Linked DNA regions of Drosophila melanogaster. Changing the gene in region 2 together with the main gene of any one other region gives a genetic interaction. Each region holds a gene or a part of one and is shown on either strand. Other genes may lie near its edges. The genes, in order: en and cg.

What was found.
Region 1: of cg (region 2) and en, changing one enhances a phenotype caused by changing the other (phenotypic enhancement), as found in Drosophila melanogaster (one study listed by BioGRID).

Annotation. Positions count from the first base shown.
Region 1 is NT_033778.4:11,523,355-11,530,187, forward strand, and holds en (engrailed), read right to left. Parts: upstream 4,857-6,833; 5' UTR 4,317-4,856; coding exon 3,005-4,316; intron 1,872-3,004; coding exon 1,774-1,871; intron 1,494-1,773; coding exon 1,245-1,493; 3' UTR 652-1,244; downstream 1-651. UniProt on the Drosophila melanogaster protein: This protein specifies the body segmentation pattern. It is required for the development of the central nervous system. Transcriptional regulator that represses activated promoters. Wg signaling operates by inactivating the SGG repression of EN autoactivation.
Region 2 is NT_033778.4:14,171,648-14,176,890, forward strand, and holds the start of cg (combgap), read left to right. Parts: upstream 1-2,045; 5' UTR 2,046-2,799; coding exon 2,800-2,925; intron 2,926-4,758; coding exon 4,759-4,895; intron 4,896-4,964; coding exon 4,965-5,044; intron 5,045-5,243. Other genes in the region: ReepB (receptor expression enhancing protein B), read left to right, coding at 643-875, 937-1,036, 1,100-1,161; mRpS16 (mitochondrial ribosomal protein S16), read right to left, coding at 1,384-1,656, 1,722-1,838.

The DNA.
Region 1 (6,833 bases), 2.6 Mb from region 2:
GCGAGACCCCTCGAGACATGCGAATGGATTTGAGCCTCAAGCTAGCTGTGCAATTAGCGTTTGGCATCAATTCATATGCGCTTCATACAGCCGTGCATGTGTGTGTGTGTATTGTATGTGCACATCAACGCTTGCCAGTAAATGTCAGCTGCTCATCCCGCCCCCTCCCACAATTTTGCATTGCATTTCGCGTTTGCATTTATTTTCAGCAAATTAACGCCGCTCGCCGCGAGATCTGTGCCAATAAATCATTTGATGACTGCTCCCTGCCGCTTTAGTTTTGCATTTTTTTTTTTCTTTCTGTTTGTTGGGCTTCTGTCTCGTCACAGATATTTGTTTATACTACGCGCGGATTTGGCTTTAATTAAACGGAATGGAATCGAAGAGCAAGAGCTGCCGTTACTCGTCGACGGCCTCCGATTTTGGTTCGGAATGTGATTGTGCAATTAGCGGCACCCTCGCCCGACGACAAGTGTTCGTGATTTAATGTTCTATAGCCTTTGATGTGACAGATGAAAAAGCGTAGAGAAGATAATGGCGCCCTACACAAAGTACAAATAAGGCCACCGATTAGACCGCATGTCCTCCGATATATGGGTGGCATATTTTCCTTTAATGTAGCAGACTTCCAATTCCCAGAGGAAACCAATTGCATTTTAATTTTTTTCCATAATTCTTTTATTTTGTTTTTAATTTTCTTTTCATGAACTTGCTTTAGCACAAACATTTCGTTGTTATTTTCTTAGGTGCATTTGCCAGCTATTAGTTGCTCGTTAACATTTCGCTTAGAAACTAAAATACTCTTTCATAGCAATCCTTAAGTGTGTAAACTAGGAATTAAGCTAGGGAACTGTTAAGTTACTTAATTTACAGAGCGGTTGCAAGCGCGTAATTTATAGGGAGTAATAACTATAGATAGTGTTTTGTGTAGGAATAAACGTCTGAAGGTCGAAGCTTTTGAAGTGCGGCGATAGCGATAGGCTTTGTGTCGGGTGATTACGATAATACTTTCGGCTATCCAGGGGTGGTTAAATAAATACGCCAACAACTTACAGCTCGAATTCGCTACGGATGGGTCTTACTCTAGGTTAGGATTATACGTATATATATATATATTTTTAGAGATATATACAAAAACATATGTACGCTACAATTATATCACATGAAAACCATTTGTACGCCCTCGAATATTGCACGCCCCCGTCAGAAGGAGTAACCCCTTATGGGTAACCATTGGTCAGCGCTTAGGGGATCTGCCCGTTCATGCGCATCTCGAGCTCCTCCTCCTCCTTGGTCAGCGGCACGGTGGTGTGGTTGTACAATCCCTGGGCCATCAGCTGCAGTGCCAGCGGATTTTTGGAGCCCGTCGACTTCTTGATCTTGGCCCGCTTGTTCTGGAACCAGATCTTGATCTGCGCCTCGTTCAGGCCCAACTCGCTGCTCAGCTGCTGGCGTCTCCGCTCGGTCAGATAGCGATTCTCGTTGAACTCCCGCTGTAAGTGGAAGAAATGGAATGCTGGATGAGTTTCGGATGGCAAGGATATCCATGTTGTATAGTCAGGTAGGGAAAATCAATTATTTGCGGTTTCGGCCGAGCGTGGCTGATTGGTTAAGTACGGACGGGACACCACATTGCCAGGATGCATTAGCAGCGGGCGGTGTCAATATTTTGGTGCAAATATGACACAACAAGCGTAGGGCAATTGGATATGGATATGGATGGATATTGGTATAACCATATAACCATATATGGAAAAAAGAACTGAATCTCACCTTAAGGCGGGCCAACTGCTCGCTGGAGAACGCGGTGCGTGGACGCTTCTCGTCGTTGGTCTTGTCCTTTGGCTGTTTGGGGCGGCGGTAGCGGGGTCCTGGAATAAACAAAAACACGAGAAATACGTTAGTTCTATTTGCATAAATGCGCCACATACTATTAATAATATTAATGATTCAATTAGCATATGTCTGGGCGGAATTCCTCGGCCGGAGCTGGAGCTCCCTTTCGCGTGCTGGCGGGGAAGTGTTCAATTTGTCAGCTGTCAGCGCAAGAGAAGAGTAGAACTCCGGCGAGTTAACGAACCCAAAGGTCTACGGCATATTTTAGGCAAATGATTTGCCAGCTAGCCAACTCTCTAATTAGCGACTAAGTCCAAGTCACCGGCTAATTGGCAACGCGGCACCGCAGCAATCCGTAGTGCTTATTAGATTTCCACACATTGTAAATTATAATTTAATTGACCGCCAGTAAGTGGAGATCGTTTGATTAATTCCTAGCCGCGGAGTGGGGCCATCAACGCCTCGCTTATGGGCTGCCATCGATTGCATCGACACCAAATTAAAAAACCATTGCCGACCATAAAAAAGCACTTAACTCGTCAATTAACACACGATCTAAGAAGAGCTGCAAGGAAAATCTCCGCTTGTCAATGGAAAACTCTTCTCCTTTCGAAGGGGCTTCCCCCGCCATCATATCTCCCCCGCACCTACTTTTCCCCTGTCAATCGTCAGCGCGTTTTAGGGTCTCGGCTTCTGCGTGGCGTGTGTGCGTGAGCGGTGACCTTCGACCTGAGGATCTAACAGTTCCGATAGACAAGCGCTGGCTCTGCGCTACATGTTGTCACATAAAGTGTCGCTCTTCAAAAGCAGCGCAGCACTGCGTGAGGCCCAAAATCGGATTCGGATTCGGATACGAAATGGGAATGGGAATGGGCATGGTTATAGAAATGGGAGTCAGATTCGGGCTCATTGCCATTGTCCGCGTGTCGCCTAATTGTGGCAGTGTCCTTCGGATTTATGACACAAAACAGAGCTGCTTGAAAGGCTGCCGCCAACATAACGCTCCCCAAGGGTGGTCCCCATGTAACCATATACCATTTACCATTTTCACATCTTTTTTTTTTTAACGAACCTTTGGGACTTCCTTGTTTTGACAACACTGAAGATGGTGCCCGACGAACCCTCTTTCTGACCCACTTAAACGCTAGGTAATCGCATAGATACTAACCTGAGCTGGGACGATCGCTGTAGCGGGTGCAGTACACCCAGGCGGGCCACATCTCGTTCTTGCCGCCCTCTGTGGTGGTGGATCCCGTCTCGGAACGCGTGTCATCCGAGGACTCCATTCCGGAATCTCGGCTAACGGCGGATGGCGGCGGGATTGGCTGCGGCTGGGGACTGCTGGCATTGACTCCGGATCCACTGGCTCCCAGTCGGCTACTGGGCGAGGAGTTCAAGGAACTGGCCGCCGAGGAGCAACCCGACGAGGAGGAGCTCGAGCTGGTGGCCACGGAAGAGGTGCTGCTAATGGTCGAGGCATTGGAGGCGGGTGGCGGACTGGCCAAGCTGCTGGCACTGCTACTCAGCGGAGGTTGGGTCATCGTAGGGGCAGCAGGTTGTCCGATCTGCGAGACCGCCTTGCACAGGGATCCCAGAGCAGATTTCTCTGGATTGGCATCGCTCATCTTGGAGCTCATGGGCGGCGGGATGACGGCATTGGCTGCACTCCTGCGCAGCCGACTCTGCACGATTTCCTCGTGTATCCTGGGATAGGCAGCCGGATTGAAGCAGTTAAGGAAGTTGGCCCGTTCCAGCATCATGGCCGCAGTAGCGGCTGCGGCGGCAGCCTGCTGTTGCCGGCTAAACTCCAGCAGATCCACTCTTGTAAAGGCGGAGGGCGTGGCAGTCTGGGAACGACTCGCCTCGAAGGGGCGGAATATGCTGGCCTGGTTCTCCATCGACTTGCCCGGCTTCTGGACATCTCCGAAACGATCGCTCAGGATGTTGGAGATGGAAAAGGCCAGCGAGGGCTTGGCCGTCGACTGCTGCTGGTGGGCGGGTGGTGGCAGGCGTCCGCCCGCCGACGTATCATCCACATCCACATCAATGTCGTCATCCTCCTCCGCCTCCTCCTCCTCGTTGGTGGTGTGCGTCTGATTGTGGAAACTCATGTCACCGATCACGGAGTCGCTTTCCTCCTCCTTGATGGTCAGCGGCGTGGACGAGGCGGGCGTGGAGCAGGATGCGGGCGATCCACTGCCACTGAGGCGCTGCTGCAGTGCAGCAGCATGAGCGTGGGCGGCCGCAGCAGCAGCTGCAGCAGCGGCGGCTGCAGCGGCATCGAAGGCCATTGCCGGATGGTGGAAGACACCGGCGGCCAGTTGCTGTTGGTGCAACTGCTGCAGTTGCTGCAGCTGGTGGAGGTGCTGCATTTGCTGCTGCTGTTGCTGCTGCTGCTGTTGCTGGTGGTGAAGATGCTGCATTTGTAGGGTAATGGGGCTGGGCGCTGACTGTGGACTGCAGCGATCCTCCAGGGCCATTGGTTTCGACTTGGTGCTAAATCGCAACTCGCTTAAGACACTTGTCACTGGGTCACTTGACACTGAGCCACTGATTCTTCTGATTGCTCAGAATCTTCTGATTCTCTTCTCTGTTTGGTGTTTTTTGTTTGGCTTATGCTTTCGTGTTTGATTTGCAACTGTTGTTCCGACACGCACGTCTGTTCACATCGAGCGCAACGACTGAATTAGTTGACTACTTCGGAATCGCAGCGCCGACGTCGGGGAGAGTTAACGCGAGAGCCGATTGAACTGTCACGGTGGAAAGAGAGGTCCGAGTGCGGGAGCGAGAGGGCGAGATCCCACAAGTAGCTGGCGAAGTGTGTGCGAGCGAGCGAGTGAGTGAGTGACAGCAGTTGGTGACAGTGACATGAAGAGATGAGAGTAGAAGATGTGTCTTTTCGGCCTTACACTGATCGATTTTCGCTCTCTCTTAGCCTTGTCACCTGCCCCATGCGAACCGGTTTCGCCGGCTCACTCACTCCTATTAGCTGGCCAGAGCGCTCTCTCGCTCGCTCCCTCTCGCTCTCACTCTCTCTTGCCAATTTGGCGAGGGGGGCTTGTTAGGCAGCAATATGACTTTATTATGCGCATGCTGGAGCTGTCAGCCGGTTGACAACTGTGTCCCCAGCGAACTGCGCAGGCGCAAGCTCTCCCTCTCTCACGGGGCGTTACCGAGTGGGGGTCATATAGCGGCACTGTTCACTCCCTCTGCGAGTAGGCCAGGAAAATGGCTGCCTTTCCATGAGGGGGAGAGCCACATGCCATCTCTTTCCACAGACACTTTTCATAAGCATTTAGTTTTTGTTGATTTTGTTTTCGGCCGCGACGTTTCAATCTGCGTTTTCTACAGCCTACAACTTTATCGACACCACCTTTAGGCCATGTGTAGAGGGGGAATCGAAAGAGAGGAAAAAAACCGCAAAGCTAATTGTTTTAATTTAAATGAAGGGAAACTTTTTATCACCCCCACTCCCACCACCAGTATCATTTGCGATTTTTCACAAAAATACGCTAAATACACGATGACAATTTATTTTTGAGGCCTTCAATTAACCAGTTAAATGTGCCTTGAAAAACAGCTGACGAAATTGATTGATATTTAATTGACATTTAATTTATTTATTTGCCCATCGAATATCGATTTGCCAGACGAGCGAATGAAAAACCATCGCTAACTGTCAAAATAAACCTTAGAAGGTGTTAAAAACGAACGCCATTTGGCATTGGACATTAACAATAACGCTTTTTTGTGGGGCTCTAATCAACCGACGATCTACAAATGTGAAACATGTGCTGCAAATAGTGTATAGATGTGGGATTCCGAACATATAACCACTGATATATAGCTCATAAATCAACGAATCTGTTCGATGTGAATAAAACCGAAATCAAATAACGAAATCGCTAATGAATTGCCTTATAGCTAGCAGATTTTGTTGTGTTAATTTTTGCATAATAAAAGCGATCGTTGCCATGTGGGCTACTGATTTATGGGGCAAAGGATTTAATTAGAGAGTAATCTCGCCACCACTCACACTCCCACATTTCCTGTTGCCAATTGTGACATAAGCAATTCGCGCCAACAAACTAACGCCCAAACAATAAGCCATAATCCATATTTAGAGCAAATTTCGTGGTTAACCTGTTCCACAATCAATGGGCCGAAATTTATTCAATTTTTATGCGCATTTTTATAAGTATCAAATGGACTTGAATCGAATATAAATTAATAAATATATTTGAACAGCTCAGATGCATAAATTGAAATTCCGTTGAGTGGTCTTAACCGTTTCGATTCGATCTTAACCGGTTCGAACGCACCTTCCAGTCTGCGGTCAGCCATTAAAAGTCGAAGTTGGAAAAACTGGAAACTGGAACGGAGCCAAATCTATTTCCCCTTTTGAATTTCGAACTTCGAATAGATAGTTGTCTCACTCGCTCTCGCACTGTGCGCTTCTCGCTCACTCTGCCCTGCTCTCTCACGCATGACAACAATGGCTGCTGCCTCTCTCTCGCACACCCCCTTTGACCATCTTCCTCTTACACATTCCGCTGTTGCCGTCGGCAGCTGTTGATTTTCCGCTCAACTTCCACCCTTCCACACCGTTCCATTCCCCTACACACTTTCCGCTTTGATTGCCATGATTTTCAATTATTACCGTTGTCGTGTTTGCTCAGCATTTGGCCACGAAAAGGGTTAAACTGCTGCCGACAGTTGCGTAAAAATGCGTTAATTAAAGTTTTCAACTTGTTTCTGATGCTGCTGCTGTGGTTGCTATTGTTGCTGTGGCTGCTTTTGCTGCTTTCCCGTTTGCCCTTAATGATAATGATGCGTCTGTTTGGATAAAATGGTAACTGCTAATGAGCTTTGGCTTTCCACCACTTCGGCTACTGTTTCTGTTTCTATTTCTGTTTCGGTTACTTTTCGATCTCTAATGGCTTTTTCTCAGCTTCGTAGCTGCCGGCCAAACAAAAGACTCAAACAACGAACTTGTC
Region 2 (5,243 bases):
AATTCGCAATTCACATCAAATGATCTGATCGACTAAGGATATAGTTTCTGTGGCTTGTAATGAAACCCACCTTTTTGCAATGATGTTGCTCAAATTAAAGTACCCTCAGCCAGGGTATAAATATAATTAGCCGCCATCGAGCATGAATGACATCATAAATTTATGGCAAAACAACAGGCCGTAGTCCGCTCATCTGGGTGGGCAAAATGCAACTGGCCGGGATCAGAGGCAGGTCGAGACATCTACTGACAACAGCTAAGGGTTTATAATTAGCCAACGGCATGGGGCGGTTTAAAAACCCCAGGGATCCACGAAGGGGCGCCCTTGAAAGCTGTACGAGCACCTGGCACTGTGCCCTTGGAACAGTTAGTCTTGTAGCTAAAGTTTGTAAGTGTTAACTCCATCTGATCACCCTGCGCCCTGTGGAACCGCTCCTGCCCTTGGACCTGCTTATAGCCATAAGGGAAAATGCGCCACTAGGGCAATATCAATTGACCAACTAGATGGCGAACATGGCAGTCGAGGAATTAGAGAGCAAAATTGTCCAACTGTTCGTAGAGAACCCCCTCCTGCGCTACGGTAGAGCTCCAGCAGTGACTTAATGCTATTTACTAATAAGGTATTATATTTCATCATATGTAGGTGCTGTTGGTCTGTGCGCCATCTACCTGATCTTTGGCTGGGGCGCCCAACTACTGTGCAACATCATTGGGGTTCTGTACCCTGCATATATTTCCATCCATGCCATCGAGTCCAGCACAAAGCAGGACGACACCAAGTGGCTGATCTACTGGGTCACGTTTGGAATCTTCACCGTGATTGAATTCTTTTCGAGTCTGCTAACTTCGGTGATTCCCTTTTACTGGCTGCTGAAGGTGAGCTTTGCATTCTTCACATATAAGAATCTTCTTTTAAATGCTTCAACTCCACATGTAGTGTGCTTTCCTCATCTGGTGCATGCTGCCCACGGAACAGAATGGTTCTACCATCATCTACAACAAGCTGGTGCGACCCTACTTCCTGAAACATCACGAATGTGAGTAAATTCACCTCTTAGATATTGCAATTTTACTAAAAGGAGATCAATATTTGCACACAGCCGTTGACAGGATCATCGATGATGGCATGAAGAAAGCCGCTGGAGTGCTGAAGCATGACTAGAAGGCGAATGTACCGTAGCTCCGACCGCTTCTCGCTTATCCATGCATTTGGTTTTGGGCCTGGTCACCAACCTCACCTCGTATTGGTTACGTTTTGCAATAAATTTTAATTCTGTATTCATTTTGTTGTTGATAAGAGCACCAGTGTTCGCTGAACCAGAAGAAATCTCCGTTTGTTAAACGTAAAAACGAAAAGGAGGCTTTTATTGAGGCACAACTATATTTATGCGGTTGATTCCGCCTTTTCTGGCGACGCCTCCGCTTCAGCAGCTGTCCTCCGGTTCCGCCAGGCGGTCATGTAGGTGCGCGGGTGGATGGGCAGTAGTCCGGCAATTCCCAGGAGTTCTGCAGCCGGCGTGGACAAGTGTGCACCTTTGCCCAGCCAATAGCGAATTCTCTCCGTGTTCAGGGCCACCAGTCGTTCGTTGTAATCGTTGGGCAGGGGATCAAAGGAGCCCACCTGCTCGATGACAGGCTGGTGCTGGTTCTTGCGCCTCTAAACCGGAAAATACAATTACCAATTAAAAGTTTTAACCATTTTAATGGCCTAAAAGTACGCACCTCCATGACGACAATGTGATAAAAAGGCCGATTGGTGCATCCCAGGCGTACGAAACGTATGATTTTTGCCGACTTGGCGTAGAAACGACCAATGCCACTGGCTGGCGATAGAGACATCCCGATATTTTATATATCTAATACAAGTTTTGGCATAAAATAAGGATTCTTCAATCAGAAAATGTGAATTGTTATGCAAAGCATGACCGTTGAGGGAAAATTTAACAATACCAAGCGATTGGGTCACACTATTAGTTAGCCCTAACAGCGTTGCCACCTCCGACCGCCCATGTTAGACAGTTGCGGCACCTCGACAACCCTGGCCTGCGCACACACAAGATGGCGTCAGAGAACGAGAAGCACGAACACTAAGGAATTTGTTCAGTGGTGTCTGTGTCTGTGAATTATATTGAAGGAAAAAGAGTGTTTTGTTTATAAATTTAATTGCAAAAACTGCACATCGTCACACGGGGCGCGTGCACACACATCGGCGCACACGCACACCCACGCCAAGGCGACACCTAAACGCAAAACGGAGAGTGTGTGTTATCAATGGAGTGTGTGTTCCCCAACGCCAAGTGAATTTTTTTCGTTGAGACCGAGGGACGGAAAAAAATGGCGCCCGCAGCCAGAGCAACTTGACTTTCTTTTCGGTCCTATATAGTTAGTAGTTGCTTGCCCCCGTCTCGTCGTCGGCGAGCGAATTCGGTGATTTTATTTCGATTTCGTCGCAGTGCGATATCCCCAACGAAGAAAACATAACGAATAATTGATGAAAAAGTGCTTGAGAGAGACCCCCCCAAACGTATTCGAATTTGTTGTGTACATTTTGGCTTCGAACACAGCCGCAAAAATACCATTACCAATTTCCACTTACTACTACTAGAGAGGAGGATAGTATTTTGTACGTGCTTTAGAATACATACATACATACCTACATATACCACAAGCAAGCGAGAAGTGCAATTACATTTGCGTTTGGAAATTTTGCGCTTTTTTCTCTTCCGTCCTCCCATCCAAAAAAAAAAACCCCCCGCTCCCCCTCTCTCTCTATCTTTCTCAACCCGCATTGTGCTAAATAATGTGTGCCGCCCAGAATCCGCCGCCCTTCGGCTATACCTGGGGTTTTGCGGACAACGGCAACCGCGCCGCCGAATCGGTACTGGAGATATCGCCCAACATCAACTATACAGTCAGCGGGGAGTCGGTGAGTCCAAAGTTATAGCTCTATTAAACTGATAAACCCGTTGAAAGCTGCCAGTCTGAGGATATTTCCCCCCTGTTGCCGACATTGCTCCAGGTGCGTGCGTGTGTGGGTGTTGGTGCTGCTGTTGCTGTTGCTTTCCCACACCGAATTGTGTTGTGGCCCACCAATGCATACACACAAACGCACACACGCACTGCGTTACACTCGCTCACGGACTCGCTCGTCTCACCAACACTCGCTGCTTTCGGCAACGAACTGTGTATGTATACGGCCCGAATGGCATTCACGTATACGGTATACGTGGAAAACGAGCGACAGCAACTGCGATATACATACTTACGTACATGTACAACGTATATATGCATACGCCACACGCTTTATGTAACTGCGTTGTCATGCGAATATACGAATATGTACGAATGAACGTACGTATGTATGTTTTTATGGGGGGGATGGAGCGAGTGTATTAGAATTCTTTTAGCATACATCCATACGGATTTTTTTCGTTTCCATTTCATTCGTAAACATTCATAATTTGGTATTTGTAAAACGAATGCGTACACAATTGGCTCTGTGTGCGGAGAAATTCCCAAAATACAACACGCGCACCTGGCGAGCAAGTAAATAAATAAATAGCAATAAATTCCCCCCACAGGCAAATCGGAGCAGTTAATTAGCGGGAAGGTCGTGAAATTTTCAAAAGTCTGGCAGCTGGTACAGGCAATCGATGCTAATCGATATTTTTCTAGGCTATTCATGCATATATCGCTAACCTAATTTAAGTTCTATTAATAATTATTGCTTATCCATAGGTTTTTTTGTTGTTTGTTTCTTTTTTTTTGAGAGCAATATTTTTTGTTGTGCAATTGACAGGAGAAATTGTGTTTGTTGTTTTTTAGTTTATATTTGCGGGCACTTATACAATGGCAAACGCGGCGAATTCGCCGCACTTGCGCGCCCGATATCTCCGCATGTGTGCGTCAGTGCCGAATTCGCCGCGCTTGCTGCCCTCTGTATGTGTGTGTATGTATGTATGCACGCACACTCGACCAGAAATGACGTGTGCTCCCCAGTGTGCGTTTGGTGTCGTGCGTGTGTTTTGATTACTTTTGCCGCACCATTTTGGCGCCCATCACACACACTCCCATGCCACGATGTCCAATTGCACTCACACACATACAGAGTGAAAAAGGCGCGCTTTTTGCGAACATCCCCTCCCGCTCTTAGCGCCCAACTTCCCCCCTCGTTCGTCGTCTATCATCTGTTGCCGCACTGCTGGCTGCGCAGGTGTAGCGTGGTTATTGGCGGTTATTATCAATCAGAGCGAAAACAAAAGACAAGCACTTGGCCAATAGAAGCATCAACCGCCAACAACTCCAAATCACAGCCTGCAGATCTTAGCGAGTGGCGACTGTACTTGCTGCCAAGTTTTAATTTCCCAAAAAAAAAAAGGTTCATGAAGGTCAATTCATTCATAAGTTTGAGCTGAACAATAAAACTGCTACAAGTTTACTTCCTCTCATTTGTTTAAATCGTTTTTGGGACATTAAAATTGTAGAAATGACTAGGGGCAATGTACATAGATTAAAAATTATTTATTATTCTTTTATATAAAAGAGCCTTTGTTGTTTGATATGTAACATTTCTTGAATGAAAGATAGATTTATAAAAAAAATGTGTAAGCCAGGCTTTCCTAAAATCGCAATTCCCAGGACCACGTGTAAACTAAACATGCAACTCCTACAACATAAGCATTATTAAGTTTATTTAGAAATTAGGACAAACCTTTAATTTATCCCCATTAGCCATGAGTACTAAAAGTCTTTGTTCCAGATGCCCTATCTACTATCGACGGATGGATCATTGGCAGTTCAAAAGGATGTCAAAGGCCTTACAGCTGGCGGCAAAAATAATGTCGTTCGTCGTATGTTCGTCGTAAACGATCCTTCATTTCCGCCTGGAACACAAAGGTGCGTTGGCGCTCCAGCAGCCCAAAGAGATCCCCAATGTACATATACCTAATTCTCAATCCCTTGCAGAGTTATCACTGCCGGCGGAGCATCGACGGTGGTCAAGAAGCAGGACAACAATCAGCAGGTCCTGAGCCTCGACAAGAACTGTAAGTGGATCGATTCTAAACGAATCAAAAACCCATCGAATCGATTCAGTGTTGCACGCATTGCTGTTACTGTGTTGTGATTATCTATATATTTTGGGTTTTCTGTTAATCGATTGTTTTTCTCTCTCTACTCCCGTTTATTTATTTAATTAATTTATTTTTTTTTTTAATTCTCGCTCGATCTCGCTCGCCCTTGAAT